Linked DNA regions of Caenorhabditis elegans. The protein of the gene in region 1 purifies or fractionates together with the protein of each later gene. This does not show direct contact. Each region holds a gene or a part of one and is shown in the gene's direction. Other genes may lie near its edges.

Evidence for each region.
Region 2: the proteins of rml-4 (region 1) and C29F5.1 fractionate together in Caenorhabditis elegans (co-fractionation; one large-scale study listed by BioGRID). This does not show direct contact.
Region 3: the proteins of rml-4 (region 1) and gstk-2 fractionate together in Caenorhabditis elegans (co-fractionation; one large-scale study listed by BioGRID). This does not show direct contact.
Region 4: the proteins of rml-4 (region 1) and hpd-1 fractionate together in Caenorhabditis elegans (co-fractionation; one large-scale study listed by BioGRID). This does not show direct contact.

The regions. Positions count from the first base shown.
Region 1 is NC_003280.10:4,292,950-4,299,549, forward strand, and holds rml-4 (dTDP-D-glucose 4,6-dehydratase), read left to right. Parts: upstream 1-2,151; 5' UTR 2,152-2,152; coding exon 2,153-2,392; exon of another isoform or gene 2,393-2,647; intron 2,648-2,786; coding exon 2,787-3,671; intron 3,672-4,145; coding exon 4,146-4,288; intron 4,289-4,441; coding exon 4,442-4,563; intron 4,564-5,363; coding exon 5,364-5,443; intron 5,444-5,509; coding exon 5,510-5,935; 3' UTR 5,936-6,001; downstream 6,002-6,600.
Region 2 is NC_003280.10:6,301,223-6,306,877, forward strand, and holds C29F5.1 (START domain-containing protein), read left to right. Parts: upstream 1-2,302; 5' UTR 2,303-2,332; coding exon 2,333-2,416; intron 2,417-2,858; coding exon 2,859-3,032; intron 3,033-3,162; coding exon 3,163-3,365; intron 3,366-3,901; coding exon 3,902-4,096; intron 4,097-4,142; coding exon 4,143-4,329; intron 4,330-4,678; coding exon 4,679-4,987; 3' UTR 4,988-5,061; downstream 5,062-5,655. Other genes in the region: C29F5.8 (DOMON domain-containing protein), read left to right, coding at 5,207-5,452.
Region 3 is NC_003282.8:7,239,593-7,243,943, reverse strand, and holds gstk-2 (Glutathione s-transferase kappa 2), read left to right. Parts: upstream 1-1,673; 5' UTR 1,674-1,688; coding exon 1,689-1,839; intron 1,840-2,438; coding exon 2,439-2,818; intron 2,819-3,287; coding exon 3,288-3,434; 3' UTR 3,435-3,499; downstream 3,500-4,351. Other genes in the region: elo-3 (Putative fatty acid elongase 3), read right to left, coding at 4,048-4,161. UniProt on the Caenorhabditis elegans protein: Has roles in respiratory and lipid metabolism.
Region 4 is NC_003281.10:10,533,348-10,538,283, forward strand, and holds hpd-1 (4-hydroxyphenylpyruvate dioxygenase), read left to right. Parts: upstream 1-2,178; 5' UTR 2,179-2,200; coding exon 2,201-2,611; intron 2,612-2,773; coding exon 2,774-3,070; intron 3,071-3,682; coding exon 3,683-4,156; 3' UTR 4,157-4,336; downstream 4,337-4,936. UniProt on the Caenorhabditis elegans protein: Key enzyme in the degradation of tyrosine.

The DNA.
Region 1 (6,600 bases):
TTTTTCAGTCAAAAACACTTCAAATTTACGGCAAGAAATCAGTCAGAAACTTGAAATCTCGAGGGTTACGGTAGCCCCAAAAGTACGCAAAATGCGAATACCGTAACCTGTCACACCGAATTTCACGCAATTTTGAGCTAAAGCTCATTGTCTTCTACATTGTCTTCATATAAAAATATCATTAAAAAAAAAACCACAAGATTCTGTATTTGCAGATTTCCACAGCTACAGTAACCCGGAGAAAGAAAACTCAAAAAGTGAAGCTTTTCGACTTAAACTCTCAAGTTCACTTTATTTTTTTGAGAGAGCTTCCGCGAATGCGAATTAACCACCTCAACAGCTGCTCAACGGAAAGTTTAAAGCTTGATGTTCGTCATAATAATGAGCAACAGCTGTGCGGAGAGCACAAATCAGAGGGAAAAACCGAAAATTCGAAAAATTCCAAGACTCCATATCAAACGAGTTGATAGAAGAAGTCGGTGGGAAAATATTCGAACGAAAAGTAGGGGAAAATGATGGAAAAATAATATGTTTACTTTTCGCCTCTGCGCCATTTTCCATCAAAAAATGGCTTTGCTGAACCATTAAATGGCAGGAGAGAGAGCAGGGGGAGAAAAGAGAGCAGCAGCAAACAGAAACCCGAGAATTCAAGAGTCTCTAGGTTCCCAATTTCATTTTGTGAGAAGAGTTCAGCAGAAGAAATACATGATCAGCTGGTGGTGCTAATTAGAAGGACGGGGTACTCTCTCTCTGTGAGGTGTCACTTTTAGTTGGAAATTTCCAACAAAAAAACTGACAAGGGAAAGGACAAACTTCTATCAAAATTCAGTGACATTTGATTTATATGAAAATCGAGTTATTTTCTAGTTTAAAAAAATTGGGAGAACGCTCCAAATTCAACTTTCAGACAATTTTTGAGCGTTCTCCCTATTGTTTTAACTAGAAGAAACGGCAATTTTCAAATGAATCCTATGTTTTTTCTATAATCTATCACTGAATTCTAATGAAAAATATTGTAGAATTTCTGGCCGGCAATTGCCAAAAACCGAGTTTTATGGGTTGGGCACACTGTAATTGGCCTGTAATTTGGGTGAGAATTTCACAATTTTTTGTTGATGCACCGGAAGGAGAATGATTCACACTTTACTGATGGACTGTACATCTGATCATCACTTGGAGAGACCGAAATGTTCACTTTTTTTGTGTTTTTTGTTCGATTGCACCATGTGTTTTCCAATAAAAATTAGTGTAAAAATATGGAAAAATCAAGTAATTTTCTATATTTTGACACTAATTTTTAGTCTAACAACATGGTGCAATCGACCAATTTCATCAATTTTCCACGTTTCTCCCCCACCAGATACGCCGTTCAATCGATTTCCCATAGCCCTCTCAAATGACCTTAACCTAGTCTCCGTTTCTTCTATATCAATATTCGAAATCTCTGATTCCCGTGGAAAAATCTTTATCTATCTATCTTCTCCTAGATGTATACATGTTTCTGTATGGTCAAGTCCTCCACTTTTTGTTGGATTTTTGGGATTTGAACAGCTTTTTGCTTTGAATTTTTTGTCTTGTAGGCTAAAAAATCTTGAAAATTTATAAAATTGAAATACCATTTTTGATAGTTAATTGAAATAAGTCAAAAAAAAATATTTTTTCCGAAATTTTTACCCAAAAGCTTTGCCAAACGTTTTATTGTGCTATTTTTCAAAATTTTAGCCTTCAAAACGAAATTTTTTCAAACTAATACTAGTGAAAAAGGAGAATTTTGCAATTTTTGTTGTCGAAATCCCGCATTTTATTACTCATTTGCGAAATTTTGCGCTAAAACTACGGTACCTGGTTTCGACACGACAATTGTTAAATACAAACGGATATGCGCCTTTAAAGAGTAGTGTAGTTTTCAACTTTTGTTGTTGCGGATTTTTTCAAAATCGATTTTTCATTGTTTTTTTCTTTGAAAATATATATCAAAAATTATGAAAAATCGATTTAAAAATAATACCACAGCAACGAAAGTTTAGAAAATACAGTACTTTTTAAAGGCGCACACTCGTCTGTAGCTTACAAAAAAAATTGTCGTTTCGAGACCGGGTACCGTATTTCTTGCGCGACGAAATTACTCGATAATTCTCAACTGAATTCCAGGATGGTCTATACCCCGAAAAACGTGGTTATCACCGGCGGATGTGGCTTCATCGGTTCGAACTTTGTCAACTACATTCACGATGCTTGGCCGACGTGTAATTTTGTGAACATCGACAAGCTCATTCTGAACAGTGACACTCAGAATGTGGCAGAGTCGGTGAGAAATTCCCCACGGTACAAGTTGGTACTCACTGATATCAAGAATGAGGCGGCGATTCTCAACGTTTTTGAGCAGAATGAGGTATGGATTGGAGAGCTTCTTCTAAATGAGACCTGTGCTCATTTGAAAGAGCACATTTTGGATAGGTCACTATAAAAAATTTAGCAAGCACTTTGAACTAGAAAAATGTCTCCAGATGTGGATTTTTGCCAGCTTTTGATGATTTTCAGAGTTTAGAGGTGGACAAACATTCTGAAAGCTTTTTGGAATTTTTAAGAAATTTCCAAAAAGTATTCAGAACGTTTACCTACCTCTAAACAGCCAAAAAATCATCGAAAGCTGGCAAAAATCCACAGTTGGAGAAATTTTTTTTCTAGTTCAAGGTGCTCCCCAGCTCCTAAATTTTTTGTAGTTACCAATCTAAACGATCCTATTTCATATGACACAATGACCATCTTTAAATGCTAAAATTCAGATCGATACCGTAATCCATTTCGCCGCTGACTGTACTTCTACTCGGTGCTACAATGAGACCGCTGAAGCCGTTCAGAACAATGTTCTATCGTTCATCCAATTCTTGGAAACTGTTAGAACCTACGGAAAGATCAAACGATTCGTTCACATCAGTACAGACGAGGTTTACGGGGACTCTGATCTCTCGGAGAATGAACAAGGAAAAGTGGAATTCTCTCGACTTGTTCCAGGAAATCCGTATGCTGCCACTAAAATCGCCGGAGAGGCCTACGTCCGTGCCTACCAAACTCAGTACAACCTTCCAATTGTGACTGCCCGGATGAACAATATCTATGGGCCAAACCAGTGGGATGTCAAGGTGGTTCCAAGATTTATTGAGATTGCAAAGGTCCGTGGGGAATACACAATTCAAGGAAGCGGCAAGCAACTTCGCTCTTGGCTTTTTGTGGACGATGCTAGTGCAGGATTGAAGGCAGTTTGTGAGAAAGGAGAACTCCACGAGATTTACAATTTGGGGACTTATTACGAGAAAAATGTTGCTGATCTAGCGAAAACGATTCAAGAAGAAGTTGATCTACAACTCGGAAGAGCCCACGAGCCACCAAAATACAAATCGATTCCCGATCGTCCGTACAATGATCTTCGCTATTTGATAAGTATCGAGAAGGCGAAAAATGATCTCGGCTGGGAGCCAACGACCTCGTTTGATGATGGAATGCGTCACACTGTTGCGTCGGCACTTAAGGAACATAAACATGTGAAGATGCACGTGGCAATCTATGGAGGAAAGGGATATGTTGGTCAGGAGTTGCAGCACGTGCTCAATGATAGACACATTCCATACGTGTTGGCAACGAAAAAAGTCGGATTTGATAGTGATGAAGAGGTAGGAGGAGAGGATGGAAAAATGTGGTTTTGCTGAATTGAAAATTTCCGGCAAATCGGCAAAACTGAACATTTCCGGCAAAACGGCAAATTGTCAAAATTGAAAATTTCCGGCAAATCCGCAATATGCCGAAATTGGAAAACGCCGGCAAAACGCAAAAGCCAAAATTGAAAACTTCCGGCAAAATGGCAAGTTGCCAAATTTGAAAATTTCCGGCAAGACGGCAATATGCCAAAATTAAAAAATTCCGGCAAAACGGCAAATTGCCAAAATTTAAAAAATCCGGCAGAACGGCAAACTTCCGGGAAAACGGCAAATTGCCAAATATGGAAATTTCCGGGAAAACGGCAAATTGCCAAAATTAAAAAATTCCGGCAAATCGGCAAAATGGCAAATTAAAAAATTCCGGGAAAACGGCAATTTTTTTTTCGAGCGTTAAACTACCATAAAATGGAAAATATTAAACTTTTCCAGGTTGAAAGAGAACTTGCCCTTCTTGGAGTGACCCACGTGATCTGCGTGACTGGAAGAACCCATGGGCCCGGCTGCAATACTATTGAATACCTCGAGGGTAGAGCTGATAAGGTTTTCATTAACGTCAGGGATAATATGTATAGGTAGGTGGTCGAGAAAACTGATAGTAGGCACCTGTGCCGGTAATGAAAAGTACCGGCAAATCGGCAAACCGGCAATTTGCTGAGAATGCAAATTCCCGGCAAATCGGCAATTTGCTGGAATCGAAAATTACCGGCAAATTCGCTTTTTTCCAGCGCAACAATTTTGGCGCACATGTGTCGAAAATTGGGGCTGCACTATACGTACATTGGCACTGGTTACATGTTTGCTTATGATAAGGAACACCCGATTGGAGGCGCTGAGTTCAAAGAGGAAGGTTTGTGGGAAAAATATAATTTTTATAGTTTTAAAGGAGAATGCCGCAATTGAAAATTTCTGGCAAATCGGCACATTGCCGGAATTGAAAACTTCTGGCAAACCGTCAATTTGCCGGAATCGAAAATTACCGGCAAATCGGCAAATTGCCGGAATTTAAAATTACCGGCTAATCGGCAAATTGCCGGAATCGAAAACTTCTGGCAAATCGTCAAATTGTCGGAGTTAAAACTTCTGGCAAATCGGCAAATTGCCGGAATTGAAAATTTCTGGCAAATCGGTGAATCGACAAACCGGCAATTTGCCGGAATCGAAAATTTCTGGCAAATCGTCAAACTGTCGGAATTGAAAATTTCTGGCAAATTGGCATATTGCCGAAAATGTTCGGCAAATTGTGGTTTTGAACTTTTTTTTTGGAAATTTCAAAATTTCCAGTTCAATCGGCAAAATTGTACGCATACTAGGAATGTTCCTACATCTATTTTGAAATTTTTGAAAAAAAAATTCCGGCAAATTGGCAAACCGGAAATTTGCAGAGGATCAAAATTTCCGGCAAATCGGCAAACTGCCGGAATTGAAAATATCTGGCAAATCGCCAAACCGGAAATTTGCCGGAAATTTTTCAAATTCCGGCAAATCGGCAATATGCCGGAATCGAAAATTTCCTGCAGATCGGCAAACTGGCAAATTGGCAAACCGGCAATTGCCGCCAAACCCCTGATTACGACCAAATTTCTGTCATTCCCAGCAATTTTTGACTCTCCTCCACCAAAAATCTTTGCGGAAAAATGTTGCTTTCAGACGAGCCGACATTCTTTGGTTCCGCTTATTCTGTTGTCAAAGGATTCACCGACAGACAAATGAACTATTTCAATCAAAATGTGAGTTGAAAAAGTGAAAAAGTGTTAGATAAGAATTATTTCATAAATTCTTTTTTTTTTTTGAAGGGCTGGGAAAACCTCAATGTACGAATAACGCTTCCACTCAGTTTGGACTTGGAACAACCACGAAACTTGTTATCAAAAATCATCAAATACAAGGAATTATTTGATATTCCAGTGTCACTGACCATCCTTCCAGATTGTATGAATGCAATGTGCAATTTGATGGAACAACGAAGCGGTGGAACTCTGAACTTGGTCAATCCGGAGCCAATTAGTCTTTACGAAGTTGTGAAGATTTATAAGGAGATTGTCGACGAGACTGTCAATCCTACATCAATTGGAGTGGAAACTGAACGTGCTCAACATCTTCTGGCAACCAAGGGAAATTGCGCATTGGACACTGAAAAACTGCAGTCCTTGGCGCCGGTTTTGTCGGCGAAACAAAGTCTTATTAAGCACTTCAGCGAAATGACTAGTGCTGCTAAATAATATAATTTATAACAATTTTTTTGGAATGTTTTTTTTAAATTTAACTAATGAACGATTTAAAGGTGGAGAAAAATGCTTATTTTAAGCTGAAATATTCAAAATTTGCTAATTTTCGTTTTTATTTGATTATCATCCTTATATAAATATTTCGGTAATTTTCGAAATTTATTGCGTGTTTTTTCCGTCGATCGAGCAAAATTGAACTTGAATCAGCGAATAAACGCGTAAAAACTGCTTAAATATGGATTAAAAAGTGATAATTGAATAAAAATTGAGATTTTAAATAGCTGAAAAAGAATAAAGCCTGAGGCGTCTAGAGGAAAACACGAGGAAAAAACAAGGAAAAACCGAGCAAAATCGAGATGAAAGGAATCGAAAAAGAAATCGGCGCTAAATTTCAAGAGGAAAACACAAAAAAAACACAAAAATATTGTTTGTTTTGGACTAACAGGTGCAAATAGAAAAAAAAACGAAGAAAAATAAATAAAACCAAGAAAAAAGTGGTGTAGATTTACGGCGCGATTGCCTAGAATCCGACACGCTGCGTACTCCGCTCGGAGAAGGTCTCGCAGGGAAGAGACGACGCGGGGGAGATTTACGATATTTTTTTCGATGATGTGCGAATTTGTTTTCGTTTGTTTTGACTGTTTCTCTGTGTTTTTTGC
Region 2 (5,655 bases), 2.0 Mb from region 1:
GAAAATGCTTTTAAACAAGCAACTTCTCAAGAAAGCATTCGAAGATGCTGATACTCATGTTGAATTGAAAAAAGTAAGATTAGTATAAGTCTTTCTAAAACAGTGTTTATTTTCAGTATTTATCCAAAAATGGCTATTCCAAACTCGTTCAATGGATGGAGGAAATGACACAATAAAACTCGATTGATTTATTTAAAAATTAGATTTTTATAGTAATGAAGTTTGAATTAAGAAGTTCTCTTTTGTTAAAGTTAAGAATTCACACAATGATCTACCTTATCAAGCGCGAGAAACAATTTGGCAGTATTGAGCTAACATTTCTCAAAAAATAACGGATTTTTAGAGAGATTAAAAATAGAGGATTTTTCAAACTGGAGGCCCGGATCTGGACAATTTTATTTAATTTAATTTAATTTATTACGATAGAAGATATCGTGAGGTAGGAAAAAAAACACACATTAATAGATACAAACCATCACAAGTGGTTACATAAATAAATTACATAAATAAAACGAAACAAAAATAAAAAAAGAGATGAGAAGAAAATAATGGCTACATTGGAGAAGAAGCAAAAAACACAAATATCGATGTATAAAAGGCAAGAATAAATGATGAATAGAAGTGAGGATAAGGTAACATTAGATCAGTGTTGCTTCATTGTGGGTAGTGTTCTGTTGACAAAAAAGTGTCTCCTAAGTTTAGATTTTCCTGTGCTCCAGATATATTTCTTTTTAGAACGAGTGTGGGTCTCTTGTTGCTCAAAAAACTCAGATGTTTTTAAGTCTACTTTACCAGTATTCATTCTGATTACTTGGATTCTGTCAATTATTTTACGTCTCGTGCTTAAGGTTTGGAGGTCGAATAGTTCGTTACGTTCCATGGCAGTTTTGTAATCTTTATCAGTTGGATTAATATATCTTTTTTTGATTCTACTATAAAGGCGCCTAGAAAATGCGTTTTGTACAGACTCTATTGCTTTCTCATCCGATTTTTTTGTCGGAGAAGACACTACTGTTCCATATTCTAAACGAGGGCGGATGAAAGTTTTGTATAAGAGAATCATTAGTTTCTTATTGGAGGTACTGTACTGGTTGAACATGTTGGCCAGTTGAAATTTAGCTAGATTGATACATTTCTTCCAATGCTCAGAGAAATCCAGCTTTTCAGAGAATAAAAATCCAAGGTCTCTGGTAATAGCTTTTCGTTCAATAGGGTAACCGTCTAGGTGGTATTTGAAATCTATTCTACGTTTTTCTACAGTGACGTGAACTGTCTTTGATTGGTTTAGAGTGAGTTTTGATCCCCTTGTCCAATCTACTACAGCATCTAGAGCAGACTGTAAATTGTTTTCGCTTTCAGTCTTAGGGGTCGATACATACAATTTCGTGTCATCTGCAAACTGTTTACATGCTACTTTTTCGGGTAATATTGATGATATATCATTAACATAGATACCAAACAAAAGTGGTGACAGAACTGCGCCTTGTGGGACGCCACAAGTGGCCAATTTTCTGGATGACAGCGTTTGCCCAATTCTAACCCTAAAGCTTCTATTTGATCCTTTGTTGGCACAATCTTCTGGAAATTGATACTCCTCGATATCCAATTGATCACAAACATCGATATTCTTCAGAGTCTCTTTTTTAAATATCCAATCAACATTATTTAGCATATTTTGAAGGGAATTAACAGTCTACAGAAATTTATATTTATTCATCCTTTGTGAACAGTATGGAAGCGTTTTGAATAAAAAAGTTCCCAAGTTTTTGTTTAATGTTGCTCGAATTTTTATTTGCTAATCTTTTTGAGGTTTGAAATCTAACTGGTTGGGAAATCGTTCTGTCTAAAATTTATCATTATGAGCTTTCAAATAAAATATTTGTCATTCTACAGCCTCGTGATACAGATTTCTGTCTTTAGAAAATTATAAATTAAGCGAACGCTGAAATACTTATTCTCAACATTTTAAATTATTCGTTATCACAAAAACGTAGCCCAATGCTCCCACTCCAGGTGATGGTCAATCGATGTGTGCGTGTGTCCTCCAAATCTATACGAAATCTTTTCATTGTCTTTATTTTCTCCGAGATATTGGGATCCCGTCATCATCATCGGTGTTTCGAAACTTTGTCGATGAGATTGGACGGGAGCTCCTGCTCCCCCGCATTGTAATCTTATCTGAGTCTCTGTCTTCATAGACTATTTTTTGTTCCCGAACACCCCCTCATGTGCTCTCTCTCTCTCTTTCGTAGGGATCCGTTGTGCTGAAGAATGGCCTCTCTTTAAAACACAACACGTCGCTGGACAGATCGCCGTATAGCCGCTGTTCGATATGTCTGCCGACGGATTCTGGTTGTTTGAAGGTCTTGAAGAAGAACCATACGGTCTTCTTCCATTAAACAATTTATCTGGAAAGGTGAGTAGTTATTAAATATCGATGTAGGACTTTTTTTTTGGTTGGAGAATGTTTTTCTAGCTATTGTATTTCTTTACTTATTAATGAATTTCACAATTGAGAAGATGCCGAGCATTCACTTATGACCAACCAACATGGTAAAACTTCTTGATATTTTATTGTATTAGTTTAAAAGTTGTCTTCTAGATTTTTTGCTACAAAAATTAGAATTTTTAAGTTTCCTAGCTTAAAATTTTAAATGTCTTATGAAAATATTATAATTAGAAATATATGGAAGTTTTTTAAAAATATATGGAAATTTTTTTGTTGTATAAAGATCCATTAAAAATTAAATGATTTGCTGAAGATTTTGTGGAAAAAATGTATGAAAGTAAATGTGAGATTACAGTAAACGTGAGAGCGAATCATCTACTGTTTTCGTTAATAAAAATCAATTTTACAGGGAGGACCAACAAGTACAAAATATGTAGACCGTATTGGATCGTATCAATGGTATCTCAATGATGAGACAGCAACTATTCTTGTTCCAGGAGCACCTGTTGAATCATTCTATTGGCCAGGTGGCAAGTTGATGCAAGATCATGGAGTGATTATTTATGACGTCAATCATTTGAAAGTGAGTTCATAAGTTGTTGACTGAAACACGAGTTGAAGCACGAGAAGCGTGTAGATTTTTTTATTTGGAAAACAAAAATCAATCCATTTTTACAAGCAATGTGCTGATTTGGAAATCAATATAATTACAGGTACGGGAAGGATCTTTGGATGCCATCATTATTGCGGCACGTTTGCTCAGTGAGAAAAAGAAGAAACCAATCGATTTCTCTCAATTCCATTTTATCACGGATGCTATCAATTTGCAAAAGATTTTTGCATTCTGTAATGAAGCCGGAGAAGGATTGTTCCGAATCGATTGTGAACGCGTTGGAAAGACTGTTCTGCTCACTAGGTAAAAATAAATAGGTAGTATATATACCTATGTATAGGTAATAAATAAAAATAAGGTACCGTATATCCTCTATTAGTTTTGCACCCCTTGGCTCAACTTTGGCAGCTCATATCTCAGTAGTCGTTTGTTCTATAGAAAAGTTGTCAACTGATAAAATATTTGTTAGGTGGTTTTCTATAGTATGTAGTTTGTTAATTATTTATATGTTCAAAACAAAATGAGATATGAGCTGTCAAAGTTGAGCAAAGGGGTGCAAAACTAATAGAGGATATACGGTAGGCATGCAAACTGAAAACGAGAAAATTTAGTTTTATCTGTTTATTAAAAACTTTTTTGTTTTTAAAAAGTTTTTATAGTTTTCGTGATGCTTAGTAACTGGATTTTTCAAAATTCAGAAAAGTTTAGAACTTGAAATAAATTCTTGAAAAATTCGCACCAAAAAGTGAACATCTGCCTTGTCAGCCCTTCTCAAAGCAAAACTTCTAAACTTTTCGGTATTCTTATTTACTCAAAACAAACCAATAATTGTATTTCAGAATGGAAGCTTCTGATTTAATGGAAATCGGACATGTAACTTTTGATCAAAATCTGAAACATCGAATGACTCGCCCCCGTGGTGCTCATTCAACGGGTCCATTCTTCCAACTTGTTTCATATCAATATGGGCAATTCCGAATTCTTGTTAGATATGAAGTTGACTGTGCTGATTATGCAGCTGTCAAAGCCACTCCGTATGTTTTTTTTTGTAATAGTAAACAAAAAATTAAATTATTTTAGAGTCCCAGTAGATAAATCTGAAGTTCTGCCAGAGAAAAAGAAAAGTGATATGAACCCGGATATTGAAGTAGTGAATTATGGAGAAGTACCACATGATGTTCCACTTCAAGTACTCACAACATACCCACAAGGAGCTGGATTCCCATTTTTCACGTGGGCTCAGTTGTTCTTCACTAATGCTAACCATGTAAGTTTATGAAATATTTTGAAAAAAGATTTTTATACTCGACTGTAACTTAGACAGAATTATGAACATCTTGTCAATGTCTTGTCCAAGTATATGTAGATAGATTTTGGTACGATATTTCCAACAGATGCTTCCAACTTGGACAAAAAAGGTTTATCCACGCTTTTTGCAACTTCTGCCACAACTTTTACCATTTTATTATTTTTTGAGCGCATAATGAACAGCGTTTTTTGAGAGAGATTTTCTCAATATAAAATAGTTATGGGCCTACGAAATTGCGCAAAAAATAAAACTCATCAGATCAATAATTTTACATTTTCCACCCATCAAAAAAATTATCTAATTGCAGGAGCTTCTTGGTTGGTTCAAAGGAAACGGAGATTTCGGAAAGCCAGCTATTTACACTTTGCAAGATGTCTCTAAAATGATGAAGCCCCTTCCGTTGGTCTCTTTGTGCAAAGTTCACGACTGTCTTGACAAAGTTTACAAATTCTTGACTAAGAACGATGACAATTTCCGATGTGGACTTGTGTGGAAAGGAAAAGCTCATCTGGAAATCTTCGCGAAACACGAAGAAGCAACTGGTGGAATCAGTAAGGGAGTCCGTGATTTCTTGGCTACACAATGCAAAGATGATGAGCCAGAAGAGCAAAAGTGATTGATGAATGACCGTTTCCAATTTAATTTCCTTTTTGTATAATGTGTTCTAACAAATAAATAATTGTGTTTTGGAAGCGAGAATCATTAAATAGAAACCAGTTTTATCATCACTTCTTGGAAAAGAAGAACAATGTCCGTTGTTATTTCTAGACTTTCCAGCTTAAAACACACCTATAAATGGCCCCTCTGATATGATCAATGTTGATTCAAACTTATGATGATTCTATTCATTTTTTTCATTTTATTCATATGCCACGTCACTAGTTTCCACGTAACTCATATCAGTGACTGTGGAACTGCAAGAGGTTGTTGGAAACTACCAAATGGATGTAAAGATGCCAGTGACTGTCAGACAATGATGACGTGGAAACATGAAAGAAGACATTTGATTATTGAAATTGAAAGTAAACTGGTGAAGCCTGATATGTGGCTCGGTTTCGGATTTTCAAAAGATGGTTTGATGGTAGGCTTGTTTGGAAGTTTTGAAATGTTGCTTTATTCTTGTCTCTAAATGTTGCTAATTGTGAAAGCATTCAAATTTTAAAAAATCGTGTGTAAGACTTATCATGTTCCAGTCCTGTTCTTAACTGCCAAACTCCTCATTTTTATCGGCTAGCAATACAGTTTTTTTTTAATTTTCTAGAGCGCCTATAATCATCATCCCAG
Region 3 (4,351 bases), on another chromosome or scaffold:
TTTATTTATTTATTTACTTCAATACGAGCATTCAACTAGATTCTTTCAATTTGTTCTATTTCTTTACACTTTTATAACAAAAGGCATGTAAAAAATTTAAATTTGAATCACCGCGATGACAAATTCCTTTTTTTTACTTTTTTTTACTTAATTTTGCTTATTTATTTTTGCTTATTTTTGGACTTCTCAATTGTTGATTCAAATTTCATAGCCAATTTTTTTAAATTGAATTTCCTTGTTGGGCCAGTAAGATCAACTTAATGCAAAACCCAAATAAATGATACTAAAAATATTTATTTCTTCAAACTTTGAAACAATTTGCACTCTTTATGAACCAAAAGTCAAGAATGTGGCAAACATTTGCGAGTGGAAGGCAGAGAATTCGATAAGAAGAAAACAAAAATGAGTTCTAGATCTGAACTGTTAGTTTTCACATCATTATTGTTTTTTAAACTTTTCAGATATAGTTTAATTGGAAAACTTATCATAAAATGTAAAAGTTTTCCAATTAAATTTAAAAACAATATATTCCAGTTGTTTTTTCCAAAAGCCGGAACATTTTCGGAACAAATTATTCCAATCGGATTATTTTCTATTTCATTTTCTTTTTTTTTTCTCCGAAACGTGAACTTTATGAAATCCCAATTCCACAACCCAAAGTACATATTTAACCTCCAACAAACAACACAATTCTGTTCCCTCTTTTTCACCCGTTTGCACTTTATTTCTTTTCACTCACCTCGAGTCACGTGATCTCCTTCTAAGAACTGAATTTCAAAAACACAAAATGTTGTTTTCATCCGTTTCTATTTCAGCCCTTTATGTTTTTATTGAACGGTGAAAAGATCGGATCATTTTTACACTGGCTACAATTTTATTTTTTCTCATTTGTTCGTGTATGTCATATACCTGCCTGCCTGCGTGCCTTCTTAGCCCCTCGATTCTACATTCTAACATAAAATGAGCTGGGTGGTGTACACACATGATAAATTTACGTTTATCTCCCTTTATCATTTAAATTGTTTTGTTAAAAGTTCAATTAAGAAATGGCAGGTATTTTTGTGCGTATTTGGAATAGTCATAAAGCATTTAACCAAACTTCTTTCCTGAAAATATTGTTCATTGTATATTTTCATATCTTTTATCCAAAACAACTAAATGCTCAAAAATCGCACATCTGGTTATCACGTGCGGTTAGGAAAAATAGAAATCAAATATTTAGAGTACCCAAGTTTTTTTCCAAACAAAATCTATTTTTATCGTGGTCATTTGCAAACAATTCTACACTTTGTTCACTAGACTTGAGACCAACTGTTTTTTTTCTGTTTTTTGTCCGCTGATGCTCCAATTGCTCTACCACGTGTCTGTGCTCCTATCAACTCATTGGTACCTCCCTTGATGTTTACACAAATATCTTTTCTTTCTTCTCAACTCTATCATTATTGTCTGGCCAACGTGATTCGGCTGTTTTTTTTTTTCGTGCCTAATTATTTTAAAAAAAACTTTTCTACAAAATAAGAATTTTCAGAAATCTTAAAAGCGTCCCGAAGTAGTTCAAGTTGTTTTAGTACTGGAGCTCATTAAGGTTTAGAAAAATCATAAGCTTCTGTTTTTTTTTCGCTTTTTTGTCGAAAAATTTTAAAATAATTGCTGAATTTTCATGAATTTTGCAGACTTCAAGTTTCAAAATGCCGAACCGAAAAGTGGTCAAATTCTTCTTCGATGTCATTTCTCCGTACAGTTACTTTGGATTCGAAGGAATCACTCGTCATCGTTCCGTTTGGAAGACTCCAATTCAGATGAAACCATTCTTTTTTGCTGGTGTTGTCAGACATACTGGTGAGTTTTTGTATTTTTGTCTTGAAATTTCTCTAATATCCGTAAAAAAATGGAATTAGCTTTTTTAAAGTAAGGTTTTTAAACCATGACCCTCTAACAATTCCGTTTGAAATGTCAAAATAAAAGCTTTCAATTTACTTCTGGAAAAGGACATGCAAAACCTTAAGAAGCCTGTATGTTATTATTTTCTAAAAAATGCACCTCTATCTATTTATATCATAAGGTCGGCTACTTCTACTTCTTAAAATCTGCTTTAATCTGACGAAGGGCACTAGAATAGATAAATACACTTAAATAGTTCAACAATAGTTCAACATTATAATAGTTGAACATGACATATATTAACATAATAAGACAATCCAAAAATTTCAGGATTTTTCAAAATGATCAGTGAACGTTTTGATAAGTTGCCAAATGTCCCTAAAAGGACTATTTGAAAGCAATTTCGAGACATTTGGAAAAGTGATATTTGGTAATTTTATAAGTATAGGAGCATTGATAAATAACATAATTGTTTTGAAAATTTTTTTCGAATCGTGCTAATCATCAGAAAGTTGTTTGATATGTACCTTCTAAATCATATAACTGCAAGTTTTCAGAAAACCCCGGTCTCCCACTCCGTATTCCTATCAAAGAAAAGTACATGCACAAAGATTTGCTCTTCTCTGCCCAATATTGGGGAATTCCGTTCCGTCTTCCCAAGGACTACACAAATATGATGTTGAACACAAGTTCAATCGTTCCACAACGTATTCTTGTCGCTTCACAACTCCGTGATAATGTTTTGATGGAAGACGTTGCTCGTGGACTCTGGCATCGATTTTATGCATACGGAAAACCAATTTTCACAAAAAGTCAAGTTGCCGAAGTTTTGAGAGATTTGCATGTAAAAGATGTCGATGAGTTGGTGATGATGAGTGATTCGGCAGAAGTTAAGAACATTTTAAGAGAAAACACAGATGAAGCCATCGGGAATGGAGTAGGTCATTTATTATAGGAACCCAGAAAAACACGGAATCGACGAGAAAACACGCTCCACAACCAATTTAAAACGGTCCGCCCCCTAACGATGGGTCTCGTTAGGTATTTTCCGTTAAACTTGAACGTTTTTGATTAGGCTCGACAATTTTCTAGAATTAGTCTTTCTGTTATATTTTTCGAAGTGTTTAATGATTTCAACATCGAAATGATGTCTAAGAAAATTATGTGAATTTAGGGCGTTTTCACTTATCATAATAATTTTATTTCATCTATTTCAACCGAAAAAACATCAAAAACTACGAAAAATATAACAAAATAGACGACGAACGCAAAATTCCTAACGAGACCCATGGTTTAGGGGCGGAGCATTTTCAGTTGGCCCCGGAGCGCGCTTGCGCGTCGTTTTAAAATGTTTTTTTGCTGTTTTATAATATTCTCAATTGGGAATTAAAATTAATTTTTTTCAGTGTTTCGGAGCTCCGTGGATGCATATCACTGATGGTCACGGAAAAGTACTTCAAACAGTTTTCGGATCGGATCGCCTTCCACAGGTGGCCGATTTTCTTGCCGAGCCATTCAAGGGTCCAATGAGAGAGAAGAAGCCGAACGCATAAATTGTCAGATTAGCATTCTAAAAAGTGTCTAGAATTTTATCTGAGAAAGAATAACGATTAAAATTAATTCTTTCTTTTGTGTTGGCAAGAGAAATACAGAAAACGATGGAAAAAATGTGGAAACAAAAAGACTACTAATCTATTTCACACGAGTTTCAATTTGTTGCGGCAATTACAGAAAAAAAACGGAGCAAAAAAGAAAGAGCATAAGCTAACGAAAACTTGGGGTTGGTTGGGGGGACGAAGGGTGAGAGATCTGAGTATGTGTTAGTTTTGCGTGGCCTCTGATGATTAGCCGAATATAAATAAGGGAAAGCGTAAAGGTTTGATAAAAAGTAAAAGAGAAATTTCAAGAAACGAAAAATAATATTACCGGTACAGAGAGTGTAGATAGTTAGAGAGTGACAGACATCCGGGACCCAATGGGGCGGGGCGCGCGGAAGAGACGATTTGTGTCGATTTACGAAATTTTCCTCGTTGTCATTATTTCGTAAATCGACACAAATCGTCTCTTCCGCGCGCCCCGCCCCATTAGGTCCCGGATGTCTGTCACTCTCTAACTATCTACACTCTCTGTACCGGTAATAGAGAACAAATAACAATCTGATATTTTCTAATCAGCTTTTTGAACTTTTCTTCGTGCGGCGGCGGACCTCGTTGTGATGGATGGCTCAGCGATGTTAGCATTGATATCTTCTTTTGGCTCCAGAATTTCGAAATCAACAGGCTGAAAAACGAATTATTTTTTTCCAAAGATTTTTTAAAAATATGCTCATAAGTCAGAATTTTCCAAGTTTCCCAGCAAGGGTAACGGGTTTTCCATTTTTTACTGAAATCTAACAATCGAAATGTTTTTTCGATTTTTCTGATATTTCGAAAAAATTCGATTTTTTCCAAATAGAAAAGTTAAAATTGTG
Region 4 (4,936 bases), on another chromosome or scaffold:
TGATGATCGGCTTCCTTGAACAACCTCGTTTTCTTTCTTTTTTTATTCGCCCTCTCTCTTGCAATGCAAACAATCTCTTATCACCATATCAATGTCTGTGATTGCCTGAATCTCTAAAGTATTTCGTCGCTTCCTTTCCCGATATAGTTACATGTTATGTCAATTAAGTGTATGTGTGTGTAAGATAGGAGACAGAAACAACACCAAAAATGAATTTCAGGTGATGGTTTTCTTTGTCATGCTGACTGAAAACGTGTCAATTGGAAAATGATGGGTCAGGAATCCTGCCTATCTTGATAAACCGGGTGGTGGTGTCATTGATTTATAAGGGTACGCGTGGAAGAACGCGGATAATGATGATGAAATGTAGACAGAGAATGATTCATTATCATATCTCTATTGATATCATATTAAAATAATGTTGCCACGTGGCACTATACTTACCTTACTTGTTTTTGCTCAAGCTTTACAAAAGTGAGCCCGGAAACAAAAAAAAGTGAAACAAAAATCGGGTGTTTTTTTCAGAAAATTTGAATTTCCCACTAAAAATTGTCTTTCTCACAAAGTTTGAATTTTCCGCCAAAAATATTTTTATCAGAAATTTGAATTTCGTGCCAAATTTTTACCTCAGAAAATTTAAGTTTTTCTGCCGAAAATTGTTCTCAAAAATTTTTTCCCGCTGAAAATTATTTTTCAAAAAATTTGAATTTCCCGCCAAAAAAATTTCTTTAAAATTTGAACTTCCCGCAAATTTGAAGAACGTTGAACAGTTAGTCCGTGTGATTTGATCTACTCGATCTCATTGATAAGATCATATACCAAAATACTATACATCTATATTCCGACTACAAACTCCCATGACACCTCACCATTCTTCTCACCCCTCCCCTCAAGCATCTTCCGATCTTCAAAGAGTTTCGTCGCCAAATTAGGGTCTCCACAGCAGCAGCATCTTTCAACGAAACGATGCCGACCCACGTGCGTTATCAGTTTCTTTTGACCACATTGCATCACTATTTGTGGTCTCCTCAATGTCACGTGTCCAACTTCCCCCGCCCCCAGCCCGCCCCTTTCGACGTCGACTCATTTCAGTTTGTCGACGACGACGAAATTCGTGACGATCCGAATTTTGCGTGAGGGTGCTATAAAAGTCGGCACTTGCATTATGTGCAGTAACACAGTGCCACTATAGTCTACTAGCACTCAGATGTTGTTTACAGTTTTTTCTTCTTCTTTCTCTCTTTCATTTTGGCGAGTTGTATCTCGGTTCATATTGTAGATATTTATAAATTTTAAACTACAAAGCTTTGTCAAATGAATTTTTTCATATGCTACATAGTTTTAAAGCTTTTATGTTACATTTGTTACTATACAGTACTATTTGTAAACTATATTTACCTAGTTTTAAAATATTTCCAAAAAAATTTTATTTCGATATTGTTTTTAGACAACCCTTATGCCACCCCAATTTTCAAGACATACAATGCCGGTTAAGGGATTTTCCAGAAAGAGTTTAAATTTCAAAACGTTTACTAACAAGATGTGGTGTATTTTTTCCGTTCATTAAGCGGCAGACGACTTGCGGGCCAATTTTTTTAACATTAAATCTGCAATTATCTGTAACTCAAGTTGATGTTTTTATATAGAACATTTGAACAAAAATTGAATTGCCGGAATGGAAATTTTCGGCAAACCGGCAATTTGACAGAATTTAGAACTTCCGTCAAAACAGCAAATTGCTAATTTGCCGCAAAAATGGTAATTACGGAATATTTTCGGCAAATTGTGGCTGTGCACATTTTTTTTTTGGAAATTTTAGATTATCAATTTTATCATTTTTAAATCGGCAAAGATTATCAATTTAATTCTGCATAATTGTACGTATCCTATGAATGCTCCTACATCTATTTTAAAAAGCAAAAAATTTCCATGAAAAGATTTCGAAAAAACGGGCAAAAAATTTCCAAAAAGGCTTAGTTTCCGTCTTATAAAACATCCCTTTAAAAACTTCAGGCAAATTGTTATTCGGCAATTTGTCAAAAATCAAAGTTTCCGGCAAGTCCACAAACCGACAATTTGCCGAATTTTTTCGAAAAAAAAATTTGCCGAACTGCAATTGCTGCCCACCCCCCTGGACTTTTTTCTTCCTTTTTTATCCTTAAACTCTATAAATTCCAGAAAACTCAAAACTTCAATCAAAATGACTACATTCGACAAAGGAGCAAAACCAGATATCGGCACTTTTGTTGCATTCGACCATGTTAGATTTGTAGTCGGAAATGCTAAACAAGCTGCCTACTGGTATTGTGCAAACTTTGGCTTTGAGCCATTTGCCTATAAGGGGCTCGAGACAGGATCTAGAATTACTGCTCAACACGCTATTCGACAAGACAAAATCGTGTTCATTTTCGAGTCAGCATTGTTGCCTGATAATTCAGAACTCGGAAATCACCTTGTTCAACATGGAGATGGAGTTAAGGATGTGTGCTTTGAGGTTGAGGATCTTGATTCGATTATTGCACACGCAAAAGCTGCAGGAGCAACTATTGTGCATGATATTACTGAAGAGTCAGATGCTGATGGATCCATTCGATATGCTACGCTTAGAACGGTAAGAGACTTAAAAATAAAAATATCTTCAAAAATTCCGAAGTTGTTAAATTGCACTGAAGATTGACCAGGAAAATTTGGTGGAATTAAAAAATTTTTGAGAAAAAATTTTGACGAGAAATGCAAATTTCTAATAATCCAAACAATGAAATATTATTTTTAGTATGGAGAAACCGACCACACCTTGCTGGAACGTAAAAATTATCGTGGAGCATTCCTGCCCGGCTTCAAGGCTCATCCAATGCCAGCCACATTCTTCAAGACTCTTCCACGCGTTGGATTGAACTTCCTCGATCATTGTGTCGGTAATCAGCCAGACTTGCAAATGGACTCAGCTGTTCAGTGGTACGAGAAGGTGCTGAAATTCCATCGATTCTGGTCTGTTGATGATTCCATGATTCATACCGAGTACTCGGCTCTTCGTTCCATTGTTGTAACGAATTTCGAGGAGACTATTAAGGTTAGTTAATATAAAGAGATCGATGGAGTGCGGCTGTCCTGTGAGATGTCGGCTGCTAGTTTTTATTGTAAAGAAACAGCAGCCGACAAATCGCGGGTTTTAAAAAGACGCACGACCTTTTTTAATTCAAAAAATTATAGCAAGATTTCTTGTGGAAAATACATATTAGTAATTTTCAACAAAAAAAAATCAAGATATCGATTTGGTAAATACGGTGTCCTATGAGATGTCGGTTGCTAGTTAGTCTTTATAATCAATAGAAAAATAACAGCAGCCGACATATCGCGGGTTTTAATTTTTTTTTCTTGTGGAACAATTGTGTACTCTACGTGGGAAATGAATAATTGTAATTTTCGTGTAGTCCTCCAGGGCATTTTGAATATGGAATACTGAGTATCTAAACATTTTCAACATCTATTTCAGAAACCATTTTTTAATTTGAATACGACGAATGTTTTAAATATTCGATTTTTGGGAAAATAATTGAATTTTCAAATAATTGTGTTTTTTTTTCTGGCTCTCCAGAAAATTGACAAAATAATTTAAATTATTTTCTGAAAAACACTGAATAACATAGAAAATGCTTAAACTTTTAATACAAAAATTTTGCAGATGCCAATCAACGAGCCAGCCACATCGGACAAAAAGGCAATCTCCCAAATCCAGGAATACGTGGATTATTACGGAGGATCCGGTGTTCAACACATCGCACTCAACACATCCGACATCATTACTGCAATTGAAGCTCTTCGAGCCCGTGGCTGTGAATTCCTTTCCATTCCATCAAGCTACTACGATAACCTCAAGGAACGTCTCGCGGCTTCTTCAATGGTAGTTAAGGAGGATATGGATCGTCTTCAGAAGTTGCACATTTTGGTGGATTTCGATGAGAATGGGTATTTGCTCCAAATCTTCAGTAAGCCATGCCAGGACCGTCCGACACTATTCTTGGAGATTATTCAGCGACAGAATCATGAAGGATTCGGAGCCGGTAACTTTAAGGCTCTTTTCGAGTCTATTGAATTGGAACAGACAAAGAGAGGCAACTTGTTCTATGATAATGTTAAGGATGGAAATACTAAGTAACTTATATTTTTTTTATTTTGCAACGACACTTCGTTGCCAAGACCCAAAGTGAATTCCATGTGCCATGAGATTGTATTATAGTTCCCCCTAACAAAGATACCCATTCCCACAACGGTTTCCTGTTTTTTCTATTGATTCTTGTTGCATTTATATTGAGAGAATAAAGATTTTATGAAAGAATTGTTGAGTCTTAATATCAAAACAAATGTGGAACCCGTGGGTCGTCGGCCGCTGCTTTTTAACACATGCGGCGAGGTGACGCCATGAGGCAGGCGCAGGCACCGTTACGGCGACCTCATGAGAGCCCTAAATTTTGCATATAAATGGTCGGCTTTAGTCAATCTCAATTTGTGCACTAAAACTTATGACTGAAAATCCACTTTTTCTGCTTGAACTTAGCGGATATGAAACTTTTTTTATTTGGTTTTTTTTACATTCTGAATGAACACAAAATTTGCAACAGAATGGCTACGGGGATGTTTGAAAAAGTTAGTTTGAAGCCAGATATTAATTTTTAAAAATTGGAAACGTCTTTCCTGATAATTCAAAATACTCATCGAACCATTTAACAATCTCAAACTCTGCCACGTGTTTATTGTTCTCGACAAAGAAATGGAAGGGGAAAAGGGGGTTCTGAGGAATGGTCTGGGGAATGGGAAAGGGCAAATAATATAGAGAAAAAAAACGGAAAGTGTCGTACCCAAATATGTGCACAAAAAAATTAAGGTTTCCTTTTGAAATTGTTGTTGTGTTTTTCAGAGTATTTCAACTGTTGATGGA